7 linked regions of the Cricetulus griseus genome follow. The protein of the gene in region 7 interacts with the protein of the main gene of each other region in a pairwise test. Links are inferred from orthologs where the notes say so. Each region holds a gene or a part of one and is shown on either strand. Other genes may lie near its edges. The genes, in order: Dlk1, Otx1, CUNH22orf39, nuclear fragile X mental retardation-interacting protein 2, Fam131c, Smad9 and Grn.

Region 1 (3,994 bases), on a different chromosome or scaffold from region 7:
TGGTTGATTGCATTTGGAACACATTGGTGAGACCAGAGTCTCTGTGAACCAAGATGGATTCGATTGTGTGTGCTTTGGTGGTGGGGGGGGGGTTGTGTGTTGGGTGACCCCACGAATCTGAGACAGTTTGGGGGACTGGGCACAGGTGTTCCTATCAGGTGTGTAGCCTTAAATGTTGGAAAGAGGCAGCGGATTTTATGTTTCAGCACGCTAAGGCCCAGGCAGGGGCTGCAGTACCTGAATGAGGGGAGGGGGAGAGGGTGACGCACGATGTCGTCGGTGTTCACCAGTGGTCTCCTGTGTTTACAGGCGGGCTGCGTGCAGGGGCAGCACAGGCAGCCTTTCATAGCTGGCGCTTCCCCTGCTTGGAGCCAACGGACAGTTCCTGCTGCCCACCGCTCAGCGACCTGTGCCCCAGGGAGGGGTATTAAGGCGTGCTTGTGTCAAAGGTGTGTTTGGGTTGGGGCTCCGTGGGGCGAGTGCACCTGCACCTTCCCCAAACTCCACAATGGCAAGGCTCGTCGGGGGGTTTCGGCTTTTCGTGGTGGTTTTCGTGTGTGCATCTCTGATCATGTGCATTTTCCACATCTTTGTGGTGTGCGTTTGGGTCCTTCTGGGCTTTTGACCCGCGCGCCATGTGGGCGCGGGACCAAAGCCCTAAGGGTCTTACTATGTCTGTGAGCGTTTTGTATTCTGAGAGCATGCTAGGGCTTTCGCCCGCCCGCCCGGCTTGGTTCCTGAGACTCGCGCTAAGCCGGCCTGTGCGAGCGCCGCCACCGCCTCCACCGCGTGCTGTCCTGTGTGAGGACCGCGTGCCCATCGTGCGCAGGTACCCGTCTAGCCAAGAGTGAGCCCGCGTGCGCAAGCCGCTTCCGGGCGCCCGGCTCTCGGGGGGGCGGCCCCGCCAGGGGGTGGGTCACCGGGACTGGCCGGCGCCTGCCCCGTGCGCGCGAGGCGTGGGCGTGGGCGGGGGCCGCGGGGGGGGACCGACAGTACGAAAAGGCGGCGCGCGGGCCGCTGCCGCAGCTCCTCGGCGCCCCGCACCTGGTAGCGTGCGCCCCAGAGCAACCCTGGCTTTCCCTCCGCGGGACATCGGTGCCCCCTTCATCGTCCGCAACCAGAAGCCCAGTGCAGCCCCCGGAGCCCCCTCTGCACCGCCGCCGCTCCCCGGACCACGACCCAGGCCACCCCGAGATGACCGCGACCGGAGCCCTCCTGCGCGTCCTCTTGCTCCTGCTGGCTTTCGGCCCCAGCACCTATGGTGAGCTCCCCTGGCGGCTTGGCTCGCGCCCCCTCTGGGGAAGCCTGCGATGCCCCGCCGACCACCCCATGCTCCCTGTCCCGTGCGCCCTAAGTCCCGCCCGTCCCGCCTAACCCTAAGCCCCCCACCCTCCCTGCGCCACTCTTGCGTGCCGAGCCCAGTCCTGGGGTCCCGGGGTTTGCGGGAGGTGGAGGACCCCAGCCCCTTCTTGCCCGGCAGAAGTGGCGTTCGGAGGGGTGTCGTTGCGTGGATTGAGGAGGTATGGAAAAGGGGGGGTGCTCTAGGAGGTATTTTATTTAAGAAAAAGAAAAAATAGGCTCTGGGTGCAACTTTGGGGGTGTCTGTCCTGCTTATGTGCTTAGGAACAGGTCTTGGGGGCTTTGGGGGGATGACTTTGCAGTTGTAGCCCCCAATTCCCAACAGGAGCAAAGCAGGAGCCCCTCCTGCGTGGCGCGTTTTCTCTAGGTGAGGGGCTGCGACACTTCTGTCTGCAGCGGCCATCTGTCACTGGCAGCGAGAGAGTTGCCCCCCTTCCCGCAGCGACCCCAGCCTCCACTGCACCAATGGTTGTGTGTGAGGGGCGGGGGTGCTGTCTGGAAAGCCCAAGAGTGGTTGAGTAGTTGCATACAGTAGGTGTCTATTAGGGTTGGAGGCCCTGCAGAGCTGTTGCGCAGTTCTTTTAATGTGACTAGCGAGGGGCGGGGGAGGCAGGAGAGACAGGAATTGGCTGTCTGATGTAACTGGGGTTAATCTTGGGGGGGAAATCTAGTCACTACCTGTGAGCCAGGCAGGTGGACTTGTCTGAGCTATTCCAGAGACCTCAAAATCTCCCCCTTTAGCTCACTTGGCAAAAGCGAGGGCTTGCCCTAATGCCTGAGGGTCAAGTGCTGACTCTTCATTGCCCCCTATTCCTACTTTTAATGGTCTGGGGGTTCCTATTTTATTTGGAGAGAAAGGTGTCTGTTTTGCACTTGGAGAATCACGAGTATGCTGTGCTTATCCCATGGCTAGAAACACACAGGATTGTTTTTCTGGGTAGGTCAGGCCACATCCAAGAAGTGCCTACTGTGTGCCAGGCTGGAAGGATCCAGGAGAGGGTCTTTGGATCCCCCCTGCTGAGGAGCAGTGGGCCACGTGAGAGGAAATGGTCTCTGCAGGTCCTGCAGGCCTTGTGAGGTGATTGCGTACTTTTTTTTCCTTCCTCAGGGGCTGAATGCGACCCAGCCTGCGACCCCAAAAATGGATTCTGCGAGGATGGCAATGTTTGCAGGTAATGGAGTAAGCTGTTTGGGGACCATGGTGGGGTCCTGTGGGGTCTTGGAGCCAGGCTAAACAGAGGGGGGTGCTTTTTTATAAAACTGCGTCACAGCTTTCTTGCTCCTGCAGATAACTGGTGGGGGGGGTGAGAGGAGGCAGGAGAAGGGGGGCCAGGAGAAGCGGGGGCAGGAGAAGGGGGGCATGAGGATTGTCTCACAGGATGAGACCATTGGGGGTCACTGCACCAAATGTGGTTCGTGTGGGGGTCTGGAAGACCCTTGTGTTCCTGCCCTAGAGGATTTTTCTGAGCTTTTCATTCAGGTGACTGCTGTTTGCTCCAGAGACCCACTGGCCTGGCACTGTACAAAGACCACCAAGGGTTCTCCGTTCAGAAGAAAAACAGCCTGAGCCCTCTTTGGACCCCTGCTCCCCTCATGTGCCCCTCTCTCTCTCCTTTTGTTCACACAGGTGCCAGCCCGGCTGGGAGGGCCCCCAGTGTGACCAGTGCATAACCTCCCCTGGCTGCGTCAATGGAGTCTGTGAGGAGCCATGGCAGTGTATCTGCAAGAATGGCTGGGACGGGGACCTCTGCGACATAGGTGGGTACCCTCACCCCTTTTCCCTACCCACTCCCCCTCCCCTCCTGGAGCTACAGCCCTGAACCCCTAAGGCTCTCTGTTTGTAGTATGTGATCTACAGTGCCTATACGTTCCCTGCTGGGCCTCAAGTGCCTATAGTTTGGTCACCTCAGCTCTGTGGGTTCCTAGACTTGGGGAGGGGGTGCTGGAAAACTGCCTGTTGAATAAAGAGTCACAAAATAAAACACAGCATGCCCAGGGTGGCTGGACCAAGGACTGGAGCTACCTGTGCACAGGTTGGTGAGGCTGGAAGATTGGGGTCTTCTGTGTATGCTATGGGAGGGGTGATTCTTGGGGCTCAAACATCAAGAAAGGGAAGGCAACAAACAAATTGGGGAGGGGAGGGGTGACTGATACTGAGTCGTGATGGCGGGTGGGGGGGTGGTGGCTGAGGATGAATCACCAGGAAGGACAAGGGTGGGGGGGGCAGTCAAGTGTTGCAGGAGGCTGGTGGCGGTGGCATAAGGGTTAAAGTGCAGACTGACGTTATCTGCTGATTTCATTAATTTATATAATCCTTGAAAACTGACAGCTGCATTGTTGTAGGACCATTCTCACTTGCCAACCCTGTCCCCAAAGACCAGGCAAACTGAAGGAATAAAGGGTGTGTGCCCACCCCTCCTACCCCAGAGATGATATCCCAGCAGGAAGGCAGACAGCTAGGTGACCCAGGACCTGTCTCCTCAACATTACCAGTGACAAATAGGGAAACCAAGGATCAGAGAAGCAAAGGGGCCTCTGTACCCCGAATTGCCTATGGTCTCCCTCTCCTGAGTGGTAGTGTGGTGGGTGGGGGAAGGTTTTTGCTGCAGCTGACTCACACTGGCCACAACAGCTC
Region 2 (4,257 bases), on a different chromosome or scaffold from region 7:
TTGCTCGGTGCGCCCAGTGGCTCTGGCACGGACACGGATGGCGGTGCTGAGCCTGGCGAGATGGAGGCCGGGCTCCAGATGGACGAAGCAGTAGGCGTACTCAGAGAGGACGCGGCTGCCACCGGGTTCCCACCCAGGCCCGCGGCCGCAGCAGCCGCGGGATTGGCGGAGGCACTGGACGCTGAGCTAGACGAAGAGGCCGAGCTAGACACGGCAGGCGGCGTGAACTGGCCGCTACTCTCCGAGCCCGAGCTCTCGCGCACTGGAGACGACTTCTTCTTGACCGGCCGGCTTTTCGTTCCGTTCCCGCTCTGCTGCTGCTGGCGGCACTTGGCACGGCGGTTCTTGAACCAAACCTGCAGTGAGCAGGGTGAAGGAGAAGGGATCAGGGGGCTGGCTAGTGGAGCTCACAGCTCCTCCGCCCCTCGGACTCACACCCCGCCCAGGATCTCAGGGACCTCTCAATCCCAGCCTCTACCCCTCCCAGTCTCTGGCCCTGCCAGACCCTGTCCCCTCCCCCGCACGTGCTAGGTCCCCAGCTCTGGCTCCCTCCCCCATCCTTCTGCGCAAAGCCCCCAGTCAGCCTCCACCGCAGGAGGGATGCGCACCTCCCCAAGCCCAGCGCAACTCTGCCCAAGGGCGGAACGTTTGCGTCTGTCCAGCCAGAAGTTCAGCCATCTCTAAGCTGTTGCAGTTGGCTGCTTCCCCGCAGCCCCGTTTTAGTTTGGAGGCCCTGTTTTCCAAGAACAGAGCTCAGGAAACAGCGGAGAGTACAGAACATCGGAGAGTAGGGCAGTCACCAAGTCTGGGGCCCGAGGGGTTTCACCGAGTCGGCTCCTGGAGACTGGAGTTGGGCAGGGCAAATATTTGGGTGGGAACAGAAGCAAGGCTGGAGGCTGAACTGAACGGAAGCAGTACTCCAGTACTGGGATTCTCGTGAAGGAAGCCTGGGTGAGGTTTCCTTGGGCCTTTTGGCTCCAGGTGGGGTACCAAATGGAACGATAAGTCATAAATTCGCACTCCTTTTGGAGGGGCCCGGACACGGGGCATTGCATTCCCAGTCCCTTCTCGAGCCTTCAGGGAAAGAAGTTGAGACAAAAGACTCTCGAGGAAGAGTTTTAGACTAACTCAGAACTCCTATTTTCTGAACTGTTTCATTTTAGAAACAGTAAACCCAGCATCTGGATTTTGCACTCGGCCTCCACTCGGCTGGAGAAAACTCCAAACCATACCGACTCCACCCTCAGAGCACACTCCAAGGCAGATTGCGCTAGGCTGTGACCAAGTTCCATCTTGCACTTTTAGAATCCCCAGGACTCAAGGGAAGGGTAAGAAAGACAAGAGCGGAAGGAGAGCTAAGGCTCAGTAGGAAAACGCCAAATTCTGTTGTAGCCAGGAAGCAGGGGCCATTATCTAACCTTCTGGGAAAGTTACACCCGGGGGACACGGCTGGCCTTTCCAAAATCCAAAAACCGACTTTCAACAATGAAAGCGCCCTGGGGACAAGGGCTAGAGAGATGTTGGGCTCTAAGCCATTACTTTTTAAAATGTTACCCCCCTTTAGCTGACTGAAGCCCAGCACTAGGGGGAGTTAGAGAGGGGCTGTCCAGTCAGTGAATGGGCCCCAACACCAGATGGCCCAGGTCGGATCTTCCCCGACCGCTCCTAGCGCCCCTACCCTAATCCTAGAGTCCCAAAGACCACGCACCTGGACTCTGGACTCTGGCAGGTTGATCTTGAGCGCCACCTCCTCTCGCATGAAGATGTCCGGGTAGCGAGTCTTTGCGAAAAGGGCCTCCAACACGTCCAGCTGTGAACGCGTGAAGGTGGTGCGTTCCCGTCGCTGCTTCCGCGGGGTGGCTGTGGGGACATACAAGGGCACCTGGAGTCAGCAGTGGACCTCGAGGACTGGAGCTAGAGGCCACACGCAGGTCTTCTGGTAGGTCCAGAACCCTGCCATGGAAAGGAAAGGCCGACCTCCGCGCAAAAGCAAACTTCCCTGCCCACAGGTGGGGCAAAGTGTATAAATTGGGCTAGAGGCTCCTGTCTGAAAGAAACATCAGGGCCTCAGCCCTCCTTGTCTCTCAGATAAAAAACAAAGCCATCCCCTCCTCATCTCCCTAAGCCCACTTCTGGCTGAAAGGTAGGAAGTAGAACAGAGGTAGGTAGAAACAGGACCTGGGAAAGCTTTCCAAGTGAATAAATTCAAGCAAAGAAGTAGGATCCAGAAAATAAATTCGGGGTTCAGTTGGAGTCGTCTGCCACCACGGAAGAGCTGGGTCAGGTCCCTGGTCTCTAGGGCACTCTGACTAGGGAGAAAGAGCTCTGCTTCTCAAGGCAGCTAGACATAAGGGAAGTTTGGCTGTTTACATTAGGGCCTATCGAGTCCAGATTCCTCGTGAAATGTTTGGGCGGGCAAGATTTTATTTTTTTAAAAAAGCAACCGGTGGGAAATACGTCGGTGGACAAACATGCTTTCTCTAGCATGTGAGACCACAACAGGAGCAGGCACCACAAGCTCAAAAGTTGTAGGTCACAGTTTCTAAACTCAAACCGGAGAGCCTGTAGCAGATCTGGGCAACAGACACAGAGATAATCATATCCCTGGGCCTGTTTGGGGACTGTGTGGGCTCAAACGTTAAAAGCTGGAATCCCCCAATATTTGCACAGGCTTGGGGGTAGGGACATAGGGCCACCGCTCACCAGGATAGCCCACAGAGGGGTGTAGGAGGTCCATGGCAGGGCCAGCTAGGCCCAGCCCGTTCATGCCGTATGGGGGTTGTTTGAGGTAAGACATCATGCTAACTGCCGGGTGGAGGCGCCCCGACGGATCCAGGGGGCCTGGGGCCAGGAGCAGTTCAGGGCTCCCACTTCGAAGTCCTTCAAGCTGTTGCTTCTGGGGGCCTGGCCTAAGGAGACAGGAGACACATGGAAACCGTCACCCGCAGTCACTTTGGCTTTCAGTTCCTATAATCCTAGAATGGGGAGGGGGGCAGGCTAGGAACTTAACAGGGCAGGCAACCCAAGAAATTTCTCCTCCAAGCTCAGCAAGCCGGCTTCTTAGAAAAGTAAACTTTCCCCACATCGTTCCTTCCTCTTTTAGGGCTTGACAAGGGCCAAAGACACTCCTTGAGTGTCAACAGGAAAGAAAACTTAAAAGCGCGATCAGGCCGAGGAGGTGAGAGCCGGGACCGGGGAGGGTGCAAAATCCCAAGTGTAGTCTTTTTTTTTTAGTGCTGCGGAAGCAATTTGCTCAAGCAAATGTTCACTTGGCGCCGGGATGGCAGGCCGTACAGAGCGTACGTACCGGGTTATTTTGTTTAAGTTTCAAATGTTTTTGAAAGAGGGACAAAACCGCTGGCACTACAGAGGTCCAAGGTTAGTACCCCTTGGATCGCCCAGGCAACTGCCCATTTTGGTCACATCATTCCTTCAGAGATCTCCAGAGCAGCCCCCTCCCCCAGAGTCCCAATCACCATTCTATCTGACCTCTCTGGGCCCCTGACGCTAGGAGATGGGTGAACCGGAATTTCAACGCACTTCTAGGGTAGATGTGGCCCAGGCCCGGGTGAGGCGGCGAGAAGATGCCAAAGGCGCCACAGTAGAAGTGGCAGTTTCAAGAAGCCGCCCAAGGTCAGGGGTGCCTCAAAGACGGTCACCCGTCCTCCTAAGCCCACGCAGGCCCGACCTTCTTTCTACCAAGTCCGAGAGAGCACACCGAGTCCCACCAGGGTCTGATAAAGGATGACCAGCCCAGCGGCTCAAAGCATGCTGGGGAGTTCAGAAGCCAGAGCACCCTGGATCGCGTGGGCTCCTCGCCGTCCTCTCCTGAACTCGGTGGAGAGCAGAGAACTAGGCCTCAAGTCGGAAAGCTCCCGCACACCCAAGCTGGGAGCGCTAGGCTCGGCCGAAGACACTGCGAGCCCCTGGCGCTCTTCTCCAGCGGAAGAAGGGGTTCTGGGGGGGTAGGGCTGGGACCCGAGAGGGGGGCTTCTAGCTACACCCGGCTTTACAGGGAGCCCAGGGTGGGAACTCAGGGAAAAAGGAGGCAGGACTTAAGTAGCTTTCCCATCCCAACTCCAACCCCTGCTTCGGTCCTTGGGGTCCCGCGGCCTGGACTAAGGGAGACCAGCAGGCGCGGAAGGCGGACGGAACCACAAGGGAAACAGCGCACTTGGGCCGGAGAACCACAGGCCACCAGCCGCCGCGGTTCTGCGAAGGTGCTGCGTGAGTTTTCGAATACTTAGATCTAACTTA
Region 3 (4,146 bases), on a different chromosome or scaffold from region 7:
CTTTCCCGATGGCTCTAGTGTGTCCATTTGCTCTTAGTGAGAAATATCCACAAACAACATGATAATTGGCTTCTGTCTCTTGGCACATACATCATCACTGGCCAAATATGGCTCTGGAAGGTATAAATGCTGTGGTACCTGCCTGACCTGTCATTGATGTTCCACTAGCAGCAAGGCAGCCTTCATTTGTGGAGTTCTGTTGACTACTATAAGTTTTGTTCAGCTGGGAAGATGACTCAGTAAACACTTGTTCTTGCAGAGGATCCAGGTTTGGTTCCCAGCACCACATGGTGGATCACAGCCCTCTGTAATTCCAGTTCCAGAGATCTGTGTACACATGGTGCACATACATATTTATTACACATAAAGTGAATGCATCTCATATGTGACTGCATGTGCAGGTGTGTGCATGTGGAGATCAGAGGACAGTTCTCAGGAATTCCTTCTGCCACCTTGAGGCATACAGGGATCAAACTCAGGTCCTTGGTTCTGTTCACAAGTGCTTCTTAAGAGATGAGCCTGGGCTGGAGAGATGGCTCAGCGGTTAAGAACACTGACTGTGGGCTGGAGAGATGGCTCAGAGGTTAAGAGCGACGACTGCTCTTCCAGAGATCCTGAGTTCAATTCCCAGCACAACCACCTTGAATGAGATCAGGTTCCCTCTGCTGGCATGCAGACAGAAGACTGTAATAAATAAATAAATAAATAAATAAATAAATAAATAAATAAATAAATAAAATCTTTAACAAAAGAGAGAGAGAGAGATATGAACCGCACGCCTTTAATCCCAGCACTCGGGAGGCAGGTGGATCTCTGTGAATTTGAGGCCAGCCTGGTCTCCAGAGCGAGTGCCAGGATAGGCTCCAAAGCTGCCTCTCCTCTCTCTTGGGAGTGTGCTGCCACGTGGGTGCTGGAAATCAAGGTCAGTCAGTGCTAACTGAGCAATCAATCTCAAGTCCCGTAAATTGACTTTTTTTTTGAGACGGAGTCTCATGGTATATCCCTGGCTGGCCTTGAACCCCTGCTTTTGCCTCACTCCCAAATGCTTTGATTAAAAGTGTGCACCGCAGAGCCCGGCCGCCTCTAGAATTCCTTTCACTTTTAGCCACCCCGCACCTGCCCCCTCCTTTCCACACACCAAATAAAGCTCATCTACACCTTAGTGTATGCTCAGACCAGATCCCTTTAGTCTCAGACTGCCAGGTGGGTTATTCGGAGTTCAGAGTCTTCACTTGGAAAGCTGAGGCACACCGAGATTTGAAAAATAAAAACCGGGAGAGCTGGCCGAAACTGCCGGGTTTCAGGCTGTCAATTACAAGGCTTTGAAGACAAGTCACCCGCCAGACATCAGTTGGTGAGGCCTCTAACAATCCGCCCACTCAGTGAAGACGTCCTGTTTAGCTGTGAATTTACTTGGAGCTCATTGGTTCATGTCTCTGTCAGTCACACGGGGCCTGGACATGGCGGTCGCCGGCAGCTGGCAGGTGAGTGTGCTGGGCTGCGGGGCTGCGGGGCTGCGGGGCTGGGTGGGGTTAGGTTCCGGGTCTGCCCGCGCTCAAGCTGTCTCTGCCCGCAGCCTCCCCGGCCCTGCGAGGTCTACCGCTCTGAGTGGGAGCTCTGCCGCAGCGCCAGGCACATCCTACACCACTACTACGTCCACGGCGAGCGGCCGGACTGCAGGCAGTGGCTGCGCGACCTGGCCAGCTGCCGCGAATGGGAGGAGAGCCGCAGCCCCGAGGCCCAGGTGCGAGCAGGGTGTGGGTGGGTGTGTGCACAGATCCCTCGGGGACATCCCCCTCGAGCTTCCCTCCCGAGAAGTACCCCCAAACGACGTCGAGTACAAGGAGGGAGGCAGAAAGAAAGGAGGCATAGAGAGGCTTGGGGAGGAGGACAACCGTCCAGCCTTAGGGTCATCAGCCCGCCCTTGGGGACAGGATGCAGGAAGAAAAGAGCCAAGGTGCCTGGAACATGCGGATGAGCTGTTCAGGGCATACGAATGAACCTGAGAGTACCTAAAAATGTTCAGGCACGTATGATTGCAGTTACCTTTGGAAGGCCAGCCCAGCTCTGAGAGCATGGAGATTACTGTAGAGGACAGTGACCAGTACTGAGGCTGGACCTTCTCTAGGAGGTGTGAAGAAACCTCTCCTTAACTCTGAATAGTATGTGGAATGACGAACCAAAGAAAGACTTCCACTTAAACTAGCTTGGTGAACCAATGACTTTGTTGGGTCACTAATTGGAGCATGGTGACTCAAAAGGCAGCAGCATTCCCTTAAGGCCCAGCACAGTGATCCTTGGAGCTTCTCCCCACCCCACCCCCCTCTGCCACGCCTTCCGAGCAGCTCTGGAGTCTTCACTCCCAGTCGTTGTTACTGCTTTTATAGTTTTGGGTAGGAGGCTGGTGAATTTTTAACTCTCTGAACTTCTTGCTCCTAAATTTTATGTATTTCCTATGCCAGTGAGCGTGCCTCCTAGCTTCAGACGACTATTTGTAGCCATTCATTAAACAAATAGTCGTCTCTAGTCATCTCTTTGGGCGATCTCTGATAAAGGTGATAAAGGAGCCCTGCCTTCCTGGGTTGCACTCCAGTCTGGAGAATGAATGGTATTGCTTTCATGGGCAGTGTGATGGGGAAAAGGGGAGCAAAAACTCCAGGACACAGCCAGCGTAGGGAGATCAAGGAAGAAGAGGCTAGGTGTTGAAAACATTCGTAAACATTCTGAAACAGACAAATGAACCGATGTGGAAAACAAGCTGCCGAAACTCTTTTGTAAAATGCAGAAAACAGGGGTTGGAGAGATGGCTCAGTGGTTAAGAGCACTAACTTTTTCCAGAGGACCAGGATTCAATTCCTAGCACCCACACGGCAGCTCACAACTGTCTATAATTTCAGTTCCAGGGAACCCAACAACCATAACAAAATACCAATGCACATAAAATAAAAATAAATAAAAATTTTGAAAAATGTGGAAAACAGAAGCATGGCAACCCCTAATAAGTGAAAGTAAAAAACATGGCAGAAAGCTTGTTCATATGGCAAGAAACTTACTGTCTGTCACTATATATGAGCTATAACTATATACATGACATATATATATATATATATATATATATATATATATCATAATGAGGGCGACCTTTTACACACACCCTGTGCAGAATCCAACAGTAACTTTTTTTTTTTTTTCTTCGAGACAGGGTTTCTCTGTGGCTTTGGAGGCTGTCCTGGAACTAGCTCTTGTAGACCAGGCTGGTCTTGAACTCGCAGAGATCCGCTTGCCTCTGCCTCCCGAGTGTTGGGACTAAAGGCGTGCGCCACCACCGCCCGGCGAGTCCAACAGTAAATTAACTTCACACTCTCTTCCTCACTCCATGTCCCCACTCTCAGGCTTGCTCCACACTCTCCAGGTCAGCTGTAGCTGAAGCCTAGGAGATGTTTTCAAATGGCTGAAGTCAGAGAATGGACATGGTTGTGCCCTCAGGAGGCAGAGGCAGAGGCAGCAATATCAGAAACTGAAGGTCATATATCGTGATCATGAGGCCAGTCAGCCTGGGCTACTTGAGATCCTGTCTAAAAAAAAAACAAAGAACACAATAAAATTGCTGTTTAAGATGATGAATTATTTGCAGCTAATTAAGCCGATCAGGTCCCTTTCCCCATGGGAGCCTGGTGTGCAATGGTTGCAAACAGCAGCCTCCTTGGTAGCGTATGCAGCCTATCGCCTATATGGGCTGCCCTAAGGGACCTTGGAGACAATTTTCTCAGTTTCTCAAGTTTCTGATCTCAATGATATCCCCAATCTAGGCTCTAGATGGGTATGCGTGGTGCCTTTGGGAAGCCCCAGGGCACAGTGGCCAGGGTTCACATTGGCCAGGTCATCATGTCCATCCACACCAAGCTGCAGAATAAGGAACATGTGATTGAGGCTCTTCGTAGAGCAAAGTTCAAGTTCCTGGCCGCCAGAAGATCCACATCTCAAAGAAATGGGGCTTCACCAAGTTTAATGCAGATGAATTTGAAGACATGGTTGCTGAGAAACGGCTCATTCCTGATGGCTGTGGGGTCAAATATATCCCTAATCGTGGTCCCCTGGACAAGTGGCGAGCCCTGCACTCCTGAGAGCTTCCACAGTGTTCTCCTG
Region 4 (4,086 bases), about 25 Mb from region 7:
TAAAACAAAACAAAACAAAAACAAAAAAACATGTTAGGATGATAAATTGCACATTTAAAATTTCCTTTATACTACATAGAGAAATATATATCTCATTTGAGCAAGTGTACTTGTAATGTAGTTTTAAGAAATAGCATATTGGCTTGGTGTGGTGGTGTAGGACTTTAATCCCAACACTCAGAAGGCAGAGGCAGGGGGATCTCTTAGTTGGAGTTCCAAGTCAATCTGGGTTACACAGACTGTTTCAAAAACAAACCAATCCAAAACAAGCAAACAACCCCTCCTGCCAAGACCCACAAAAATATATTTTGAGGATATTCTGTGTCTGTCATCACAACCCTCTTCCTACTATGAGTTGAATTAACTGCATAGAATGCAAATACATCTTTAAATTGCAATGTTTTCTGTAAATGCAAAACAAAAAGATGTAAAAATTAAAATCGTAAGAACTTTTAAAGGTGTACTTTCTCCCTTCCTTCACTCTTAAAATTCTTAATCTAAAACCTATTTTGGTTTCATAGTTGACCTTACCTGTAGTGTTTAATTAAAACAATACAAAACAAAAAAACCCTTCAGTATATATTTTTCATCCATCCCTCTTTCTTGCCTTCAACTACAAAGAAACAATGATTTAAGCCCTTTGTGCCCTTTTAGAAAATTACACAGATACCCCATTGTGGAACCCTATAATCCCTCCGTGGAAAGGAAGAGATTAGCATATGAATACAAAGCAAAATGAATCCAGAATACAAAAACGATCTATCGAGTTGTGAAGGTTTTGTATTCTTAAAATTGAATTTATTTCCTCTTTTGTATTGCCCCTTTCGTGGCCTAAGGGTTAAGGAAATTGAGCTTCCCCCTCTGCTCTGGTTACCCGGAAAAGGATTTAAAAAAAAAGAATCCAAAACCACACACACACACACACACCCCAACAGATTCTAGGAGGTGCAAAACCAACAGATGGCTCCTAGCGCCAGTAATCGTCCGTGGAATCTGCTACACTCGAAATCAGCTTGCTTGCCTGTGAGGAGTGTAGAAAGTGCTGTTCGCTAACTGCGTGGTGAAGGAGAGAAAGCGATAGAAGAGAGAGCCATAATGCTGACGTTGAAGGCCCGGCCCTGTGAGGTTGCATAGGGTAAGTGGCGTTGGCCAGGCGGCGGCGGCGAAGGGGAAGGGAAGAGGATTTGGGCTAGGGGCGGGGCTTGACGCGCAGCGTGGCTCCTGATTGCTGGAGGGCTGCTGCCAATCTTCCAGATCCGCTCGCTTAACCAGTGCGCTGGCGAGACGCGCTCAGATATACTGAGCGAGCGCTGAGAAGCAGTCTCAGATCCTGACGGTGCAGCAGCCTGCAGCCTCAGCCAGGGAGTCCCAGCCGCTTTCAATGGAGGAGAAGCCCGGCCAGCCACAGCCTCAGCACCATCACAGCCACCACCATCCGCACCATCACCCCCAGCAGCAGCAGCAGCAGCAACAGCAGCAGCAGCAGCAGCAGCAGTCGTCGCATCACCATCACCATTATTATTTCTACAACCACAGCCACAACCACCACCACCACCACCATCACCAGCAGCCTCACCAGTACCTGCAGCATGGAGCCGAGGGCAGCCCCAAGGCCCAGCCCAAGCCGCTGAAACATGAGCAGAAACACACCCTTCAGCAGCACCAGGAAACGCCGAAGAAGAAAACAGGTCTGGGAGGGAGGGCGGTGGGGGAAGGGGGGCTGGGGCTGGGGGGCCGACGAGGGGATGGGGGTGGGGCTAGATGTGAAAAGCGCGGACCCGGCCGGGGTGTGCGTCCCGCGGGGCCTGGGATGCCCCCTTTCATTCTTCCCGGGCGCGGGCCGCGAGGTGGGGATTGCAGCGCCCTCTCCTTCCCTTCAGCATGGGAGAGGCCCAAGCAGGCCAGCGTGACCTTCCCCGGCCCCCGCCCCGGCTGGAGGCAGACCTCTCTCTACGGTCGGCTTTGGAAGTCCACAACCTTATTTTTTTTCCCCCCTCCTCTTCTACGGCCCCGGAGTTGCCGGAATGTGGGGGGCCCTAAGAAGGGATCAAACTCGGCCGCCCGCAAAAAAAAAAAAAAAAATTCCCTCGAGGTGTATGTAATTCCGGCGGGCCTAGTGAATCCCGGCTCGGGTGGTGTCGCGAGACCCTCTTGCAGGCAGCGAGGAGCCGGGCTGAGGGCTGAGTTGAGGAAGCGTCCTCCCTCACCCGCCACCCAAGCCCACCTGTGGCCCTGGGGTTTGCTGTCTGGGGGGGGCGGCTGGGACCCCTTCTCCCCTCGAGTCATTTCACCCCTAAACGCCCCTTCCGGGCGCCGGACCCTGCTGTCTCTCCTCGAGGCTTCTCCGGAGGCCGGCGCCCCTGGCCCGCTCTCAGAGCCGGCGAGGCTGGAATGTTCTCTCCTCCTCGCGGGGCCGCTTCCTGTCCGCCATGTTGGAAGCCGATTCCTGTCACCGACTCGGGCCGGCTGAGGAGCGGAGGGGGGAAGGGTGCCCAAGGCCACACTGCACTCTGGGACCGAAGGCCCGGGACCCTCGGCGGCCATCGCCGGGTCCCCCGCACTGCGGGCGGCCGGCGCCCGCCGCCCCTCCCCCGCCTCGGTTTGGTGGCGGTTGGGTGGGGGAGGGAAGCGGCCACGAGGGGAGCGGCCTGCACCGTGGACCCGCGCGCCGACGGCCGCGTTTCCCGCTCCCGGGTGCGGCGGGAGGCGCGGGCGGCCCGGCCGGGCGGGGAGCCGGCCTAGAAGAGGAGCTTGAGGGGGAAGGAGGCCCGGGCGGCGGCCACGGCGTTCCGCTGGCCTTGGAGGGGCGAGGTGGGGGACTCATTTTCGGTAGAGGCGGTGCCTGAGGCCGGGTGGGGTACCCAGCGGGAACCAAGCTCCCGGGTCACGAGTTTCTCTGCCACAGGAATCTCATCTCCTGCCAGGTTCGCTCACGACTCCGCCTCAGCGGCTTTCACTTAGGCCTTTTTTCTTTCTAGCAGCGCCTTTCCTACCAAAAGAAGGGAAAACAACCTCTTAAACCTTGTTCCATCTGATTTCCACACAGCACCTAAACTTCTGGGCATGGGTAGTGGCTGCAGGGATTAGTCAAATACTTGATTTGGATGGACAACAGAGACAGTTTGGGTCCCCTATTATCTGGAAATGGCTTGTCCGTGAGGTTGGGTCAATACCATCTTACCTTGGACAATACTTTATGGTGATATTAAAGTGAAAGACATTTGCTGCATTTTAAAACCGATGTCGTTACCCAAACTGAATTTTATTTAACATGTTAAACGTAAAAGTCTTGAGGAAATACTTAAGAAATAAATGTCAAAATTTATATATTCGCAGATTAAAAGTTTATAAACTGAAGAGTAGTGAAGGGAATACTTGGAAGAAAAAATGTTAAACTCAGCATGTCATTTAAGCATTCAAGCAGTCACTGGTGAAAAACTTACTGTAGACAATGTAACTTTGAAGACAGATGCCGGATATCAGATTTTTTTTGTAAGGTGCAGTAGAAGTTAAGTGCTTAATTGTAAGGATCTAGAGCAGCCTAGAAAACTTAGGAATTATGTAACACTGCATTTTGGTTTTCAGAAAGTGGGGAAGTATTAAGGTTGTCAAATAATGGTACTTTTTAGATTTTAAATTTGTTTTATGAGGTTTATGTATTCCCCACAGGACTCATCATTTACAGTGATGCAGACCCTGAACCGTTGGAAGTGACACCCCTCAAAATATGTCTTAAGTTGGGATGAAGAATAAGGAGGGAAACTGTTGAGGGTTTGGGGGTGATCTGTCTTTCATGTATGTTTTGGTCACACAGTACTGTTGCTTCAATGGCTTTTTATGACCCATTACTCCCAAATCTTTGAGAAACTAGTTTTTTGAATCCAGAAGAGGGCACAAGAGAAGACAAAATGTGTTGAGTGGGTTGCAGTGGCAAATCCAAAGCTAGATTTGTCAGGACTCAAGTTTTGACTGAGTCCATTTGAAGTTGAGTTTGCATGGCAGCCCTAAATAAATGCTACAGATTTTTAATTTTTCAGGAATAACTACAGTCTTGACATTTTTCTTAAATGTTTAAGCTTTTAAAAA
Region 5 (3,500 bases), on a different chromosome or scaffold from region 7:
CAGCTTTCAAACTTAAAAAAAATTAAATTAATTTGAAAAAAATTATTTTATATGAGTTTTGCCTTCATGTATGTGTGTGCATCATGTCTGTCTCTAGTGCCCATAGAGACCTGGGGAAAGACATTAGAGCCACTGGAACTGGAGCTACAGGTGGTTGTGGGCTGCCATGTAGGTGCTGGGAATCGAACCCAGGTCTTTTGGGAGAGTAGCCAGTGCTCTTAAACACTAGACCGTCTCTCCAGCCCCTAATTTTTATTACCTGTTTGCTATGTGTTTGTATGTGGGTGTGCACATGTGACCTTACATGTGTGATGGTCATAGACCAACTGGGAGTCAGTTCTCTCCTGTCACCTATGACTCTCAGAGATGGAACTCAGATCATCGGGCTTTGCATCAGGCACCTTTAACCCACTGAGGCATCTTGCTGGTTGAGCTTTCAAACTGTAATTTTTAGACCTGGAGGCGAGTGAGAATGGCCCCCACAGGCTCATATATTTGAATGCTTGGTCCCCAGTTAGTGGAACTGTATGGGATGGATCGAGAGGTTTGGCCTTGCAGGAGGAGGCCTGTTATGGGGACAGGCTTTGAAGTTTTAAAAGTCCATGCTATTCCCAGTTAGCTCTCTCTCTGCTTTGTGCTTGTGGATCAGGTTGTGAGCTCTCAGCCGTGTTTACAGCGTCATACCTGCCTGCTGCCACGATCTGCTCCATGATGGTCATGAACCTCTGAAACCTTAATCCCCAGTCAACTGTTTCTTCTATAAGTTGCCTTAGTCATGGTATCTTAGCACCACAATGGAAAAGTAACTAAGGCAGACCTGTAGGAACAAATATATTTTGCATTTTGATCCAGTATACACATCTAGAAAATTCTCACCTGTGCAAATTCGCGCACGCGCGCGCACACACACACACACACACACACACACACACCTATGTGCCTGTGACACATAGGAGCTCCACAACACAAGACTGAATGATCTGAGGCTGCCTCCAGCTCTGATGATATCCACTCTATTCTACTCAATATTTATCTTATTATTTTTTAAACAGACCTGGTGAAAAGAGGGCTGAGGGTGTAGTTCAGTGGTAAGAGCACTTCTCAGCATGTATAAGGCGTCAGTTCTGGTCTCTGGCTGGAGACCATTCAAATAAATGGCCAAGTAAGTAAGCAGCAAATAAGTGAAAAACAAGCCTGATGAATGGACAAGCCACTGAAGGACGCGGCCCCTGCCCTGCCATTGAGTCCTCCTTTGTAAAGATGGGAGGTCCTGGAGCCCCGAGAAGAGCAACATTAACTCGGGTCACGCGGCCAGGACTGGCACACAGCAGGCTGTGCTGGGGACTGCCTGCTGTGTGCACATGGTCCAGCCCTCATTCTCAGAACCCATGTGGTCCTCCATGCCCTGCCCTCCTTATGTCTGGGTCACTTTGGGGCAAGAGAGACACTGACCATCACCTTGCCTTCCTCTCCTATGGTGTCCCAGACAGCCTGGCTCCAGCCTCCCTGCCTTGGCCCATGCATTCCAGCCTTGGGGCAGGTCCCAGATCCTTTGGCCTCTTTCAGGATGCGATTTGGCTGAAAAGTCTCCTTGAATGCAGGTCCATACTTGCTTTACTCCCTCCAGCTGGGCTGGATGTGCCTGCCGTGTGAGCCCTGGGCCCTTCCTCTGTCGGGACCCCTTTCTTCCCTGACCCGTTGGCGTCTAGAGTGGAGTATGCCTGGAGACAGAGCCCAGCTGCTTTTGTTTGCCTGCAACAAAGTCTGGCTTTGCTGTGCTGCTGTGTGAAGCCCTTTGTGAAGCCCCTATGAGATCCTGCTGTGTGCTGGGCCCTGTGGCAGGTGCAGGGGCTGCTGTGGCCAATAAAATAGGTGAAGTTCGGACTGGGGAGATGTTCAGTTGGCAGCTTACCTACATTCTGTTCCCCCAACCCACTTTAGGAGGCCAGGCAAGATAGCCTGCACTTGCAGTGCCAGTGCTAGGGCCAGAGGGAGGTAGAGGGTCACTGGCCAGGTGTCCTAACCTATGTGGCAAGTTCCTGTCTGGTAAGAGCCCTTGCCTCATAAATAAATAAATAAATAAATAAATAAATAAATAAATAAATAAAGACAGTGCCTGGAGAACAACACCCAAGGTTGTCTTCTAGCTTACACACACACACTTTCCCTCTCCCTTTCCCTCTCTCTCTCTCTCTCTCTCTCTCTCTCTCTCTCTCTCTCTCACTCACACAAACACCTAGTCTCAAAGTAAAAAGGAAATATCTCTGTATAGTTGTAGAATGTGTTTGTATATTAATCTGTTACTGCAGAAGGGTAAAAAACATTAAAAAAAATTTTTTATGGCCAAGCAGGGTTTCTCTATGTAACTGCCCTGGCTGTCCTGGAAGTCACTCTGTAAACCAAGCTGGCCTCAAACTCACAGAGATCCTCCTGCCTCTGCCTCCCGAGAGATGGGACTAAAGGTGTGCACCACCACCACCCGGCTGTCTTTAGTTTTTCTGTAGGTAAAACATATTCCCTCCTTTTCAGTTCAGATGTGCCTATGTCTTCCCCTGCCTAATTACTATGGCTAAGTCAGAGGGTTTTTTTTTAACTTCTCCTGTCATCTTTATTTCCAGATCTGTTCATCAGTGCCCACAAAGACTGCCCCAGGTCACAGGGCACAGCCCTCCTGAATCGGGATCTGCCCTCCAGCCCTCATCCACCTGTCATGGCTCCAGACCGTGTTGCTGGCAAGGTAACCGGCCACTCATCACCCTCCTCCTGCCTGCCCTGGTTCCAGCTGCTCTTTTATCTCTCTAGGGCAAGCAGAGGCCATTCTTGGCTCCCTTCTTCCTTGCCAACCCCAGTTTCTTCCTGGGTAATAGGGGACCCAAGGGCTTGGCATTCAGCTGGATGGGTGCCAGACTTATTTAGAAAACACAATACCATCCCAGAGGTCTTCCTGCCCAAATTAACTCAGCCTTGCAGACAGTAGGTTCCACTGCCAGCCCAGTTCTGCTTAGTAACTAACAACAGCTTCTCAAGAGTAAAATCAGGGCTGGGCGGTGGTGACTCACGCCTTTAATCCCAGCACTTGGAAGGCAGAAGCAGGTGGATCTCTATGAGTTCGAGACCAGCCTGGTCTACAAGAGCTAGTTCCAGGACAGACTCCAAAGCTTCAGAGAAACCCTGTCTCAAAAAACAAACAAAAAAGATTTCTTTATTTTTAATTTATGTGTATGAGTTTTTGCCTTCATGTGTCTATGGTCACAGCTTGTATGCAGTACCTGTGGAGGCCAGAAAAGGGCATTGGATCCCCTGAGACTAGAGATGATTGTGAGCTACCTTGTGGGTGCTGGGAAACTGAACCCAGGTCCTCTGGGAAAACAACAAATGCTCTCAACTACTGAGCCATCTCTCTAGCCTCAAGATGCTATTTTCTATTTTTTGTTTCATCATTATTATTTGATTTTTTTTTTTTTTGAGACAGGGTTTCACTATGTTGTGCTGCCTGGCCT
Region 6 (4,045 bases), on a different chromosome or scaffold from region 7:
AGAAAATAAGCCTGGCAGAGGACACCTGAGTGTGCAGACAAGGGTACCTGGGGTTCAACATGCACCGGTGTGCATGAAGATGAGCACACAGTTTTCACAGCCCTGGTGACATCTAATGCTGGCCATTATCTTTAAATGGTTTTAGTTGGCACAGACATAATTTTCAGGAATGTTTGCTTTTAAGGCCTAGTTAATTGCCAGGGGATGTTTGTTTATTTTTGCTATGTTCCTATTCCTACACAAACATTCATCAAGTTAACATAGCACACCACTGCCTACTCACACCATCAAAATTAGGATGTAAGCATCTGCCTCCCTTGATTTAGGACAGCTTGCCAATTCACTAGCAACAGTAATAAAGGGAATAAAAACCCAAAGTCAAGGATTATAACAATTTGAGATTTGTATTTTCAATATACACCCAATTTACTGGATATTCTGCATACACCCCGATTTCTGAATTCCTAAGTGCTCACAAAAATAAACAGGAGTCTCCCCCAAGTTTTGTTCAGATGTTAGGATTTAATGTCAGATGTTACAAAAAAATAAAAACCAAGAACATTCATTGATCAGAACCCTGACCTTCCCACCACTGGAGCATCTCCTGGATATTAAAGCAGACTATGATGAAATTGTTTTCTTGTAGTGGAGAGGGAAGGTCAGATATCATTGGCTGCCTTAATGATGCAGTAACCATCTCTCTTCAACTTGGCAGCAAACATTGCACTCTCATTCATCAGCATTCAATTATTTGTAAAACTGATCTCAAATTGTTTTATTTGTGTGAAAGAACAATTTCTTGTTTTTTTTCTCCTCCAATTTGACCACATGATCAGAAAGAATACACAAATTTACCATCCATTCAGTGCTTCTATGTCTGTGGTGAAGTTTCTTATAAAACGGGGTGGGAATGCTAAGCAATACAGCAGTCTCCTGTATTGCTTAGCATTTTCTTCCTATATCTTAGGTTATCAGAGACGCAGTAGCTGATACTGGTGAATATCTTCTAATTTTCTCATTAACTATGGAATATGTAAAATAAGAGGAAAATATTTGATAAAGAAAACACCAACTGCCTCATGTTTAAGGTGCTTAATTTGCTTAAGACCTTAATTTGTCTTTGCTTTTTAGAAAATACTACTAGTAAGTGAGCTGGCTGCATCCAGACTATGCCAGCATTCTCCTAAGCAGAGTTCCAAACTGGAGGGGCTGGGGGGAGGGCGGGGAGGGAACCCCTGACAAAGCCATCCGCTCAAGCATAAAAGTGGGGGCTGGCAGTATCAGGACAGATCCAGCAAAGGCCAGCTTTCAGGAAGCTGACTTGCCATCAAGAAGCCTTACCACTAGAAGCTATTTTCAGAAATATTGGTCATCTTATCACATTTTAAATGTTCCTTGTTTATAAACCACCACACCGGTTTCTTATCTGTGATGTCCTTGGATTACCAATCATAGACTTGAAAGTGATCCAAAATCGAGTTCCCGCCTTCCTAGGAGCAGAGCTATGAATGCTGGTCATTTGCTGTAGAGTGTGCTTGAGCTGTATTTTCACTTGCCTTTTAAATATAAATGAATAGTTTCTACATGTAAACATCCGAGGGCATTGACAGGCAGGCTAGCACATTTCACAACCACAAATATTCCTGAGGAACTGCCTAGGAAGCGCCATCCTTAAAGGGCCAACGACCTTACCGTTATTCTCTGCTCTCCCTGATAGCTAAATTTTTACAGGAACCTAGCAAGCCGCCGCACGGTCACTGTGAACTGGATCCACTAAAAGTAATTCCTAGTGTTCCATGGCATGCATTCAACCGAATTACATACAATTTGCTTCCAAAACGAGATCCACATCATTTGTAGGTTATTTCTCAAAATTACCAGTTTTAGCCAAGAAATATCCCAGCGGAGGACCTCAAAACTATCATTTTCAATTGCCACGGCCGAGAGAGAGAGGGAGGAGAAGGAGTAAGAAGAGTGTGGCGATTAACCACCCATAAGAAGGCTCCCCACGCTCCTCCTCCCCATCACAAGGCCGGCGTCAGTCAGTCGCCTGCATCTGTCCCCACCTCGCCCCCTCCCGTCTGCGCAGAGCTGGCACCCAATGGTAGGCCCAGGAGAAGACAAACACAACCCAAGCGCTAGCTACAGACACTTAACATTCCTAACTTTTTTTTTTCCTCTCTCACTGTGTGTGCCTCAAAGGTAAGCAGAGAGGAAAAAATTACAGGAGTATGAAATAAAGCTTCATGGCCAAAGGCGCCCTGGAGTTTTAAAATCTCCCCCCAGACTACCTTACACACACTCACACTCGCCCCTCTGCTGTCCCCAACTCCCCAGCAAAGGGCTACTGCCCCAATCAGGGTTTCAGAGCGCCTGCTCCTGGGTGCAGGACAGTGTGCATCCCTCTGCACTTGGTCCACGCGCATCCTGCATCCTTGCCCACACCCCGGGTCACGCGTCCCCGGGATGGGTCCCAGGTGCCAGGCTGCCGCGGAGACCTCGCACATTACACTCGCCACCCAGGCTCCAGGGAGAGCCAAGCCCCATGCCAGAGAACCTCAGAGGCCTCCCAGGTGCCCACGCTCGCGGCGTGGCAGCGCTTACCTGTCCGTGTGGTGCCACGCGTGCCCCGCGCTCTCGGGCTGCGCGGTAGCTGCAGGGCCCGGGCGGGCGGCGGCGGGACCGAGACAGCGGCTCCAGAGGCGTCAGTCAGGCTGGAGCCTCCTCCTCGGCCGCCCGCGTGAGTGCGCCGCACTGGAAGGGCGCCAGGCTGCCGTGCGCGCAGCCCCAGCCAGGAGGGGCCGTGCGCTCTGGCCGAGCCGCGCTCCCCGCCCGCAGAGCTGCGCACCCGCTCGTCCTGCGCATGGCCTCTGCAAATGGCTTTCAGGGCCAGCGGGATCTCCAGGTCATCCCCCGAGGTGTCCTCCCCACCTGGACCTCAGGCAGTGGAGAGAGGGGGCCAGTCCCCCCCACCCACCCACCCAGAGGCAGACAGGACCACCAACCATATGTGGCTCCAGTCCTGGTCCCTTGAGGCCACACTTACTGGCTAGCTTAGCTGTTCCTTATCTCTGTATCCGAGGCATAACTTGCCTGGCACCAGCCCAAGAAAATCTGGCTGAGTGGCAGTGGAGTTTCAAACTAGTGCTGTAATGTTGTGGACTGTGATTTCTTACGCAGTGTATAATACATACTGTCTAATACTCAAGATATACATCATGGGCACAAAGAACCTTCCTGCCCAGCTGCCTGGCTGCCCCCTAGGTCGCCTGCCTTTAAAATGTCACTTGGGAAGTGGCACCTGTGTGTTGAAAGCCTTTGATTCCCCCACCAAACCTTATAGGTTTTCAAAAAGACAGAGGTTTTCAAAATGGCATTGGCCATCTCAGTTAGTTCCACACTGTAAGCATCCCCCAAGAGGCCAAAGCACCTTGGAAATGTAAACAAAAGCCCTTAGGTTGGACTTCTTCCCCTAACCCTAAAACCACCACTTTCTGGAACATGTCACTTTTGCATCATCATCCAAGGGTAGCTGAAGAAGGCTTTGCTTAAAATATATTGCAGAAGTGTAAATGATACTTGAACTTCAAACTGGAAGTATCTCTCTACAGCTGGTCCATATACCCTGCTGCAGGCCAGGTGTTGGGTGTGAGATTGCCCTGGGAGAGAAAAACACCCCAGAAAAAATACTGTCCAGTGTGGGGACCACTGAAAGTCATGGACTGGATGAGAGAATTTCATGTGCACCTAGAGGCAAGTAAACTAATTAGGTTCTCTGAATTGATAACTTGTGCCTCAACACCCACCCACCCCTTCCCCAGAAATGATATTAAAGAACTGATCCAATCAGTTTCCTCCTTCTCTGGGAGCACAAAGCCGTGAGAAACCTTTGATAGGCTGGTTCATGCTTCTGCCACGGAGGCTGTGAATCCACAGAATTCTCTGGAGGGTAGGTGTGGGGCAGGCCTCTAAGTGTGTGTACTCTGCCTTTTCTGGACGTTACTCCCAAAAAGGTTAGGGAGATAAAACAGTAAAACCTGGTGGG
Region 7 (3,952 bases):
TTAGACGATCGCTCATTACCATAGGCAATGTGTCCTGGAAAGAAGCAATGACATATACCAGAGGATCTGTGCCAGACCTCTTCTGGCCAATCCAAGGTAACCCTTCAAAAGGCCAGGATGCCAGCTGGGGCGTGAGACACTCACCAGAATAGGGTTGCAGCAGCTGTAGCTGGCTCCTCCGGGGTCCAGGCAGCAGACAATAGGGCACGACTGACCATCTGGACACTGTGTTCCAGCCACCAGGCCTGCCATGAAGGCCAGCCAGCTTACCAGGGTCCACATGGTCTGCCTGCAAATGCCAAGGAAAGTTTGGCAGCCATCTTAAGCTTATGCCACCTTCTATTCTGAGTCCATGCAGTTCCCCATGCCCTGGCCAAGGCATGACATGCCTTGGATTTATTGAAACTTCTCAACAAGTGAGCAGGAAGGCAAGCAGCTGCCTGAGTCAGCATCCTACACTGTAAGCATCACACTTGCACCAGCTTGCACACACGGTGAGCACGAATGCTGGCATGAACACAAGTGTCCATCATGTCATCACACTTGGCCTAACACCTGACACTATAGGCGACTGGAGAGGCGCGGAGTTATGACAGTCAGGAAGCCATGTGGCTTTGATTTATGGGACTGTGGGCTAACTGGGAGGAGACTTCAGCGGCCACAAGAGGACAGCCAGCCTCACCTCGCTGCCTGGCACTGAACTCCCACATGTACTTTTCAAAGGCCTTGGGGAAACAGAGTTGTCAATCACATGATCATATGGGAAACCAGGGGTTGAGAAAGTTGTGAAAACGGAAGTGCAGTGGCCAGGGGAGTCTGGGCTGCCTTTCCCACAGGCCAGCCACTGCCTGCCCACAACTGTCCCCTCCCCACCCAGGGGAAGGGCACATGGTGGCTGGATTAGCCTTGAAGCTAATTTCATAACCAGCCCTCCTCAGCATCACCAGGACTCCTTTGGACTCCTCAAACATACCACCTGTTTCTCCCTACTCAGAAATCGAAACTCAGCTGCAAGAGCAAAGTTAAGTGTACTTCTTCACTGGCCCTCTGCCTTAGCAGGAGGAACCGAGTCTCTCACTTCCCTAATAAGTCTTTCCCCAGCACAGCTGGCCTACCCAGCAACCCAGAGTGACACTCCCCTGCCTGGGGCAGCAAAAACAGCAATATTCAAAGACCCTCCAGGGAGCCACTTTGCCCTTCCTTACTGTATTTCTCTGCACAACTATGCAAAGCAGTGATCAGATTACTTTCACTTTTCAAATCCATGCCCAGGTATCAAGTCAGAGAAAACAGACTGCAGATATTGGACCTGGATTCTTATGTCAACTGACATCCCTGAACATTGCCAGGGAATGGACCCCAAATCCCAGAGGCCAGAGGTCCAAGCAGAGGGAAGCGGGCAGAACATTTCCCAGGCAGGTGACCTACACAGGATAGAAATAGGGTGGGTACAGCCAGACGGTGGTGGCACACGCCTTTAATCCTAGCATCCAGAAGCAGAGGCAGGTGGATCTCTGTGAGTTCAAGGCCAGTCTGGTCTACATAGCAAGTTCCAGGACAGCCAGGGACAAAAAGATCCTGCTCAAAAACAAAAGCAAAACAAAAAAATCTACAAAAGAAAGGGTGGGTACAGGGACGGTGTAAAATCTGCCACTGATCAATTGCTGAGGGCCTCAGAAATTGTTTCCTGTGCCTCAAACTCTGAATACTGGTGGCCATGGAAGGCAAAATCCCAACATCCAGACCTCAAAGCTTCCGATAGGCATGACAAACATGCTTTTGATCCCTGCACTTGGGAGGCTAAGGTGGGAGGATTACAAATTCCAGGCTACAGGGTGACTATGAGGTCAGCCTGGGCTACATAGAGGATCTGTCCCTCATTGTGCCCCCTCCCCTTCCTTCTCTAGGTTTTCAAGCACCCTCTCAAAGAATATCCCAGAGGTCATCTCCTGGCCAGATTAGAATGGGGTAGGGGAGACCTAATCCCTTTCATTAGGGTTAGGGAGTGGTGACCTCTGGCCACCTCTACACCACTCTGTTGAAATAGCCTGAGAGGACTGGAGGAGCCTTTCAAGGCCCTAGCTTCGAGATCTTCCACTAGGTGGCACCCCCGACTCCGGAGTGTCAAGGGGAGATGAATTTCCCAAAAGGTGAGCCAATCCAGCAGAGGAGCAGGGAAAAGTGGCGGGGAGAGGCGGAAGTTAGCTCTCTCGCCCCCCATAAAGGAAGTACGGCTGACACAACCCAGGGATTCTGCCACCACGCCCAACTCCTGCTCCCAACTCCTCTGAGCTCTGGGACCAAGGGCGGGAGATCCCCACCCACTGCAAGTCGCCGCGAAGACTACTGGCGGCACCAGAATGAGAAAGTGCCGGGACCTGGAGACAAGAGGTGGGAGGCACCGAGAGAGATGAAGCTGGCCCAAGAGTGGGGCGCTTCCTGCTCTGGAGAAAGCCCTGCAGCTTTCCGACATGCTGGGCAGGGGAGCCTCTTGTTGGGGGTGTCTACAGCAACTGTTCCCACTCCTCCCAAATGACAAACCCTCGTTAGTGCATCTGAAACCCCGAGGGGAGTTTCAAGAGGCAGGACTTCTCTCGTCTCTGAGCTGAGGCTCCGGGGCAGCCTCAGTTGCACAGCAAGCCTGGCCAGGCCTCTGGACAGCAGCCAGGGAGATGTCTGCTGCGGGTCCTCCTACCTGCTTCGGGGTCCGCACTCCCTGGGAGGCATCTGGCTGTCAGCTCTCGGACTAGGGCTTGGCTGCCCGATGGCCCGCCCACCTCAGTTTCCATTAGCCCTGGGTCGGGAATCCGGGGCTTCCATTGGCTACTTGTCTACATAGAGGCGGGACTCTCCAGGAATGCTGTGTTTCTTTTCTACTCAATCCACACTCCTCCTCCCTTTCCTCTCTCTCCCCACACCCCATGTCTAGGAATCATGTGACCAGGCAATCATATGACACCATAGCCCGCCTCCCCCAGGGCCTCGCTTGCTTGTTCGGTTGCTTTCCTCCCACCCCCCAGGGCCCTGGCGGCGCCTGGCGAGGTGTTCTAGAGATGGGGCTTGCGTACCTAAGGCCACCGACAGTTAAGAAGGCGCCTGCGGGGCGCGCGTTCAAGGTCGTTTACAGCATAGCGTCGGCTTCTGGATCGGGACATTTGTACATTCACTGTTTTCACGCTAGGCAGCCAGGACTCCAAACAAGCTGAAAGATAGTTGGGAGGGTAAAGATAAACAGTCCCCAGATTTGGGTGGGATACTAAATCTAATAAATGTTCAAGGGCGAGTACCAGGCAGGAGATTGGCTGAAGGTAGGGGAAGAATAGATGTAAATCCACTTTGAGCTAGCCAGGAGATGGTATCACGCTGAACTGAATCTAGAGGAATTTTAAGGGGCTGGTTAGGCGGGACAGAGGCACTCCGGAAGAGGTTAGGAAAGCAGATGGGGAGTACAGTGTCTAGCAAGAGTTAAAAGCCACATTCAAAGTAAGGGCATTGGGCATGAGCTAAGTATGTGGCATGGGCTGGTGAAGCAGGCTGGTGGCTGTGGAGGTGCAAGAGGCCTCCTAGTTTCAGCTACCCCTACCTTCGAGGAATTGTCATGGTCCATGAATAGAGATTTTTAGCAGTAGAACAGATTAGCCAGAAACAAAAGCCAGGCTGCTGAGTGCCAAAGGGCCTGGGCCAGACAGAAATGGCTGATTGGAGACCTGCCAGGAAGAGGACAGGCCCCAGGAAAGCCCAAGGCTGGGCCTTGTAGGAAAGGCAGAGTTGGTGTGGAAGATAGGTCCCCTGGGAGGAGCAAAGAGCTTGACTGGTAGGCCACTCAGGGGAATGGGGACAGCCCTACGAATAAATCCAGGACAGTAAGAGTCTTGCATAGAGAGGAGCCTGGTGGGCTTCTTGGGCTAGAGCTACAGGAATCCCAGAAAGTGGAGGCCAACGTGGAGTATCT

The links.
Region 1: the proteins of Grn (region 7) and Dlk1 interact in binary tests that used the Homo sapiens proteins (3 or more experiments, as listed by UniProt). The link is inferred for Cricetulus griseus from reciprocal best matches to the Homo sapiens genes GRN and DLK1.
Region 2: the proteins of Grn (region 7) and Otx1 interact in binary tests that used the Homo sapiens proteins (3 or more experiments, as listed by UniProt). The two-hybrid records come from large-scale screens. The link is inferred for Cricetulus griseus from reciprocal best matches to the Homo sapiens genes GRN and OTX1.
Region 3: the proteins of Grn (region 7) and CUNH22orf39 interact in binary tests that used the Homo sapiens proteins (3 or more experiments, as listed by UniProt). The link is inferred for Cricetulus griseus from reciprocal best matches to the Homo sapiens genes GRN and C22orf39.
Region 4: the proteins of Grn (region 7) and nuclear fragile X mental retardation-interacting protein 2 interact in binary tests that used the Homo sapiens proteins (3 or more experiments, as listed by UniProt). The link is inferred for Cricetulus griseus from reciprocal best matches to the Homo sapiens genes GRN and NUFIP2.
Region 5: the proteins of Grn (region 7) and Fam131c interact in binary tests that used the Homo sapiens proteins (3 or more experiments, as listed by UniProt). The link is inferred for Cricetulus griseus from reciprocal best matches to the Homo sapiens genes GRN and FAM131C.
Region 6: the proteins of Grn (region 7) and Smad9 interact in binary tests that used the Homo sapiens proteins (3 or more experiments, as listed by UniProt). The link is inferred for Cricetulus griseus from reciprocal best matches to the Homo sapiens genes GRN and SMAD9.

Annotation. Positions count from the first base shown.
Region 1 is NC_048598.1:185,357,937-185,361,930, reverse strand, and holds the start of Dlk1 (protein delta homolog 1), read left to right. Parts: upstream 1-1,194; coding exon 1,195-1,261; intron 1,262-2,467; coding exon 2,468-2,531; intron 2,532-2,986; coding exon 2,987-3,117; intron 3,118-3,994. UniProt on the Homo sapiens protein: May have a role in neuroendocrine differentiation.
Region 2 is NW_023276807.1:84,695,139-84,699,395, reverse strand, and holds the start of Otx1 (homeobox protein OTX1), read right to left. Parts: upstream 2,801-4,257; coding exon 2,704-2,800; intron 1,861-2,703; coding exon 1,709-1,860; intron 357-1,708; coding exon 1-356. UniProt on the Homo sapiens protein: Probably plays a role in the development of the brain and the sense organs. Can bind to the BCD target sequence (BTS): 5'-TCTAATCCC-3'.
Region 3 is NC_048597.1:70,360,804-70,364,949, reverse strand, and holds the start of CUNH22orf39 (UPF0545 protein C22orf39 homolog), read left to right. Parts: upstream 1-1,346; 5' UTR 1,347-1,430; coding exon 1,431-1,484; intron 1,485-1,576; coding exon 1,577-1,744; intron 1,745-3,628; exon of another isoform or gene 3,629-3,763; intron 3,764-3,809; coding exon of another isoform or gene 3,810-3,914; exon of another isoform or gene 3,915-4,092; intron 4,093-4,146. UniProt on the Homo sapiens protein: Negatively regulates long-term potentiation and modulates adult synaptic plasticity. Stabilizes the interaction of RTN4 isoform A/Nogo-A with its receptors, inhibiting clustering of postsynaptic AMPA receptors at synaptic sites.
Region 4 is NC_048600.1:91,081,813-91,085,898, forward strand, and holds the start of nuclear fragile X mental retardation-interacting protein 2, read left to right. Parts: upstream 1-1,286; 5' UTR 1,287-1,381; coding exon 1,382-1,688; intron 1,689-4,086. UniProt on the Homo sapiens protein: Binds RNA.
Region 5 is NC_048595.1:11,878,629-11,882,128, reverse strand, and holds part of Fam131c (protein FAM131C), read left to right. Parts: intron 1-2,618; coding exon 2,619-2,737; intron 2,738-3,500.
Region 6 is NW_023276806.1:96,416,875-96,420,919, forward strand, and holds the start of Smad9 (mothers against decapentaplegic homolog 9), read right to left. Parts: upstream 2,801-4,045; 5' UTR 2,605-2,800; intron 1-2,604. UniProt on the Homo sapiens protein: Transcriptional modulator activated by BMP (bone morphogenetic proteins) type 1 receptor kinase. SMAD9 is a receptor-regulated SMAD (R-SMAD).
Region 7 is NC_048600.1:115,672,851-115,676,802, forward strand, and holds the start of Grn (progranulin), read right to left. Parts: upstream 2,801-3,952; 5' UTR 2,728-2,800; coding exon 2,696-2,727; intron 290-2,695; coding exon 145-289; intron 35-144; coding exon 1-34. UniProt on the Homo sapiens protein: Secreted protein that acts as a key regulator of lysosomal function and as a growth factor involved in inflammation, wound healing and cell proliferation. Regulates protein trafficking to lysosomes, and also the activity of lysosomal enzymes.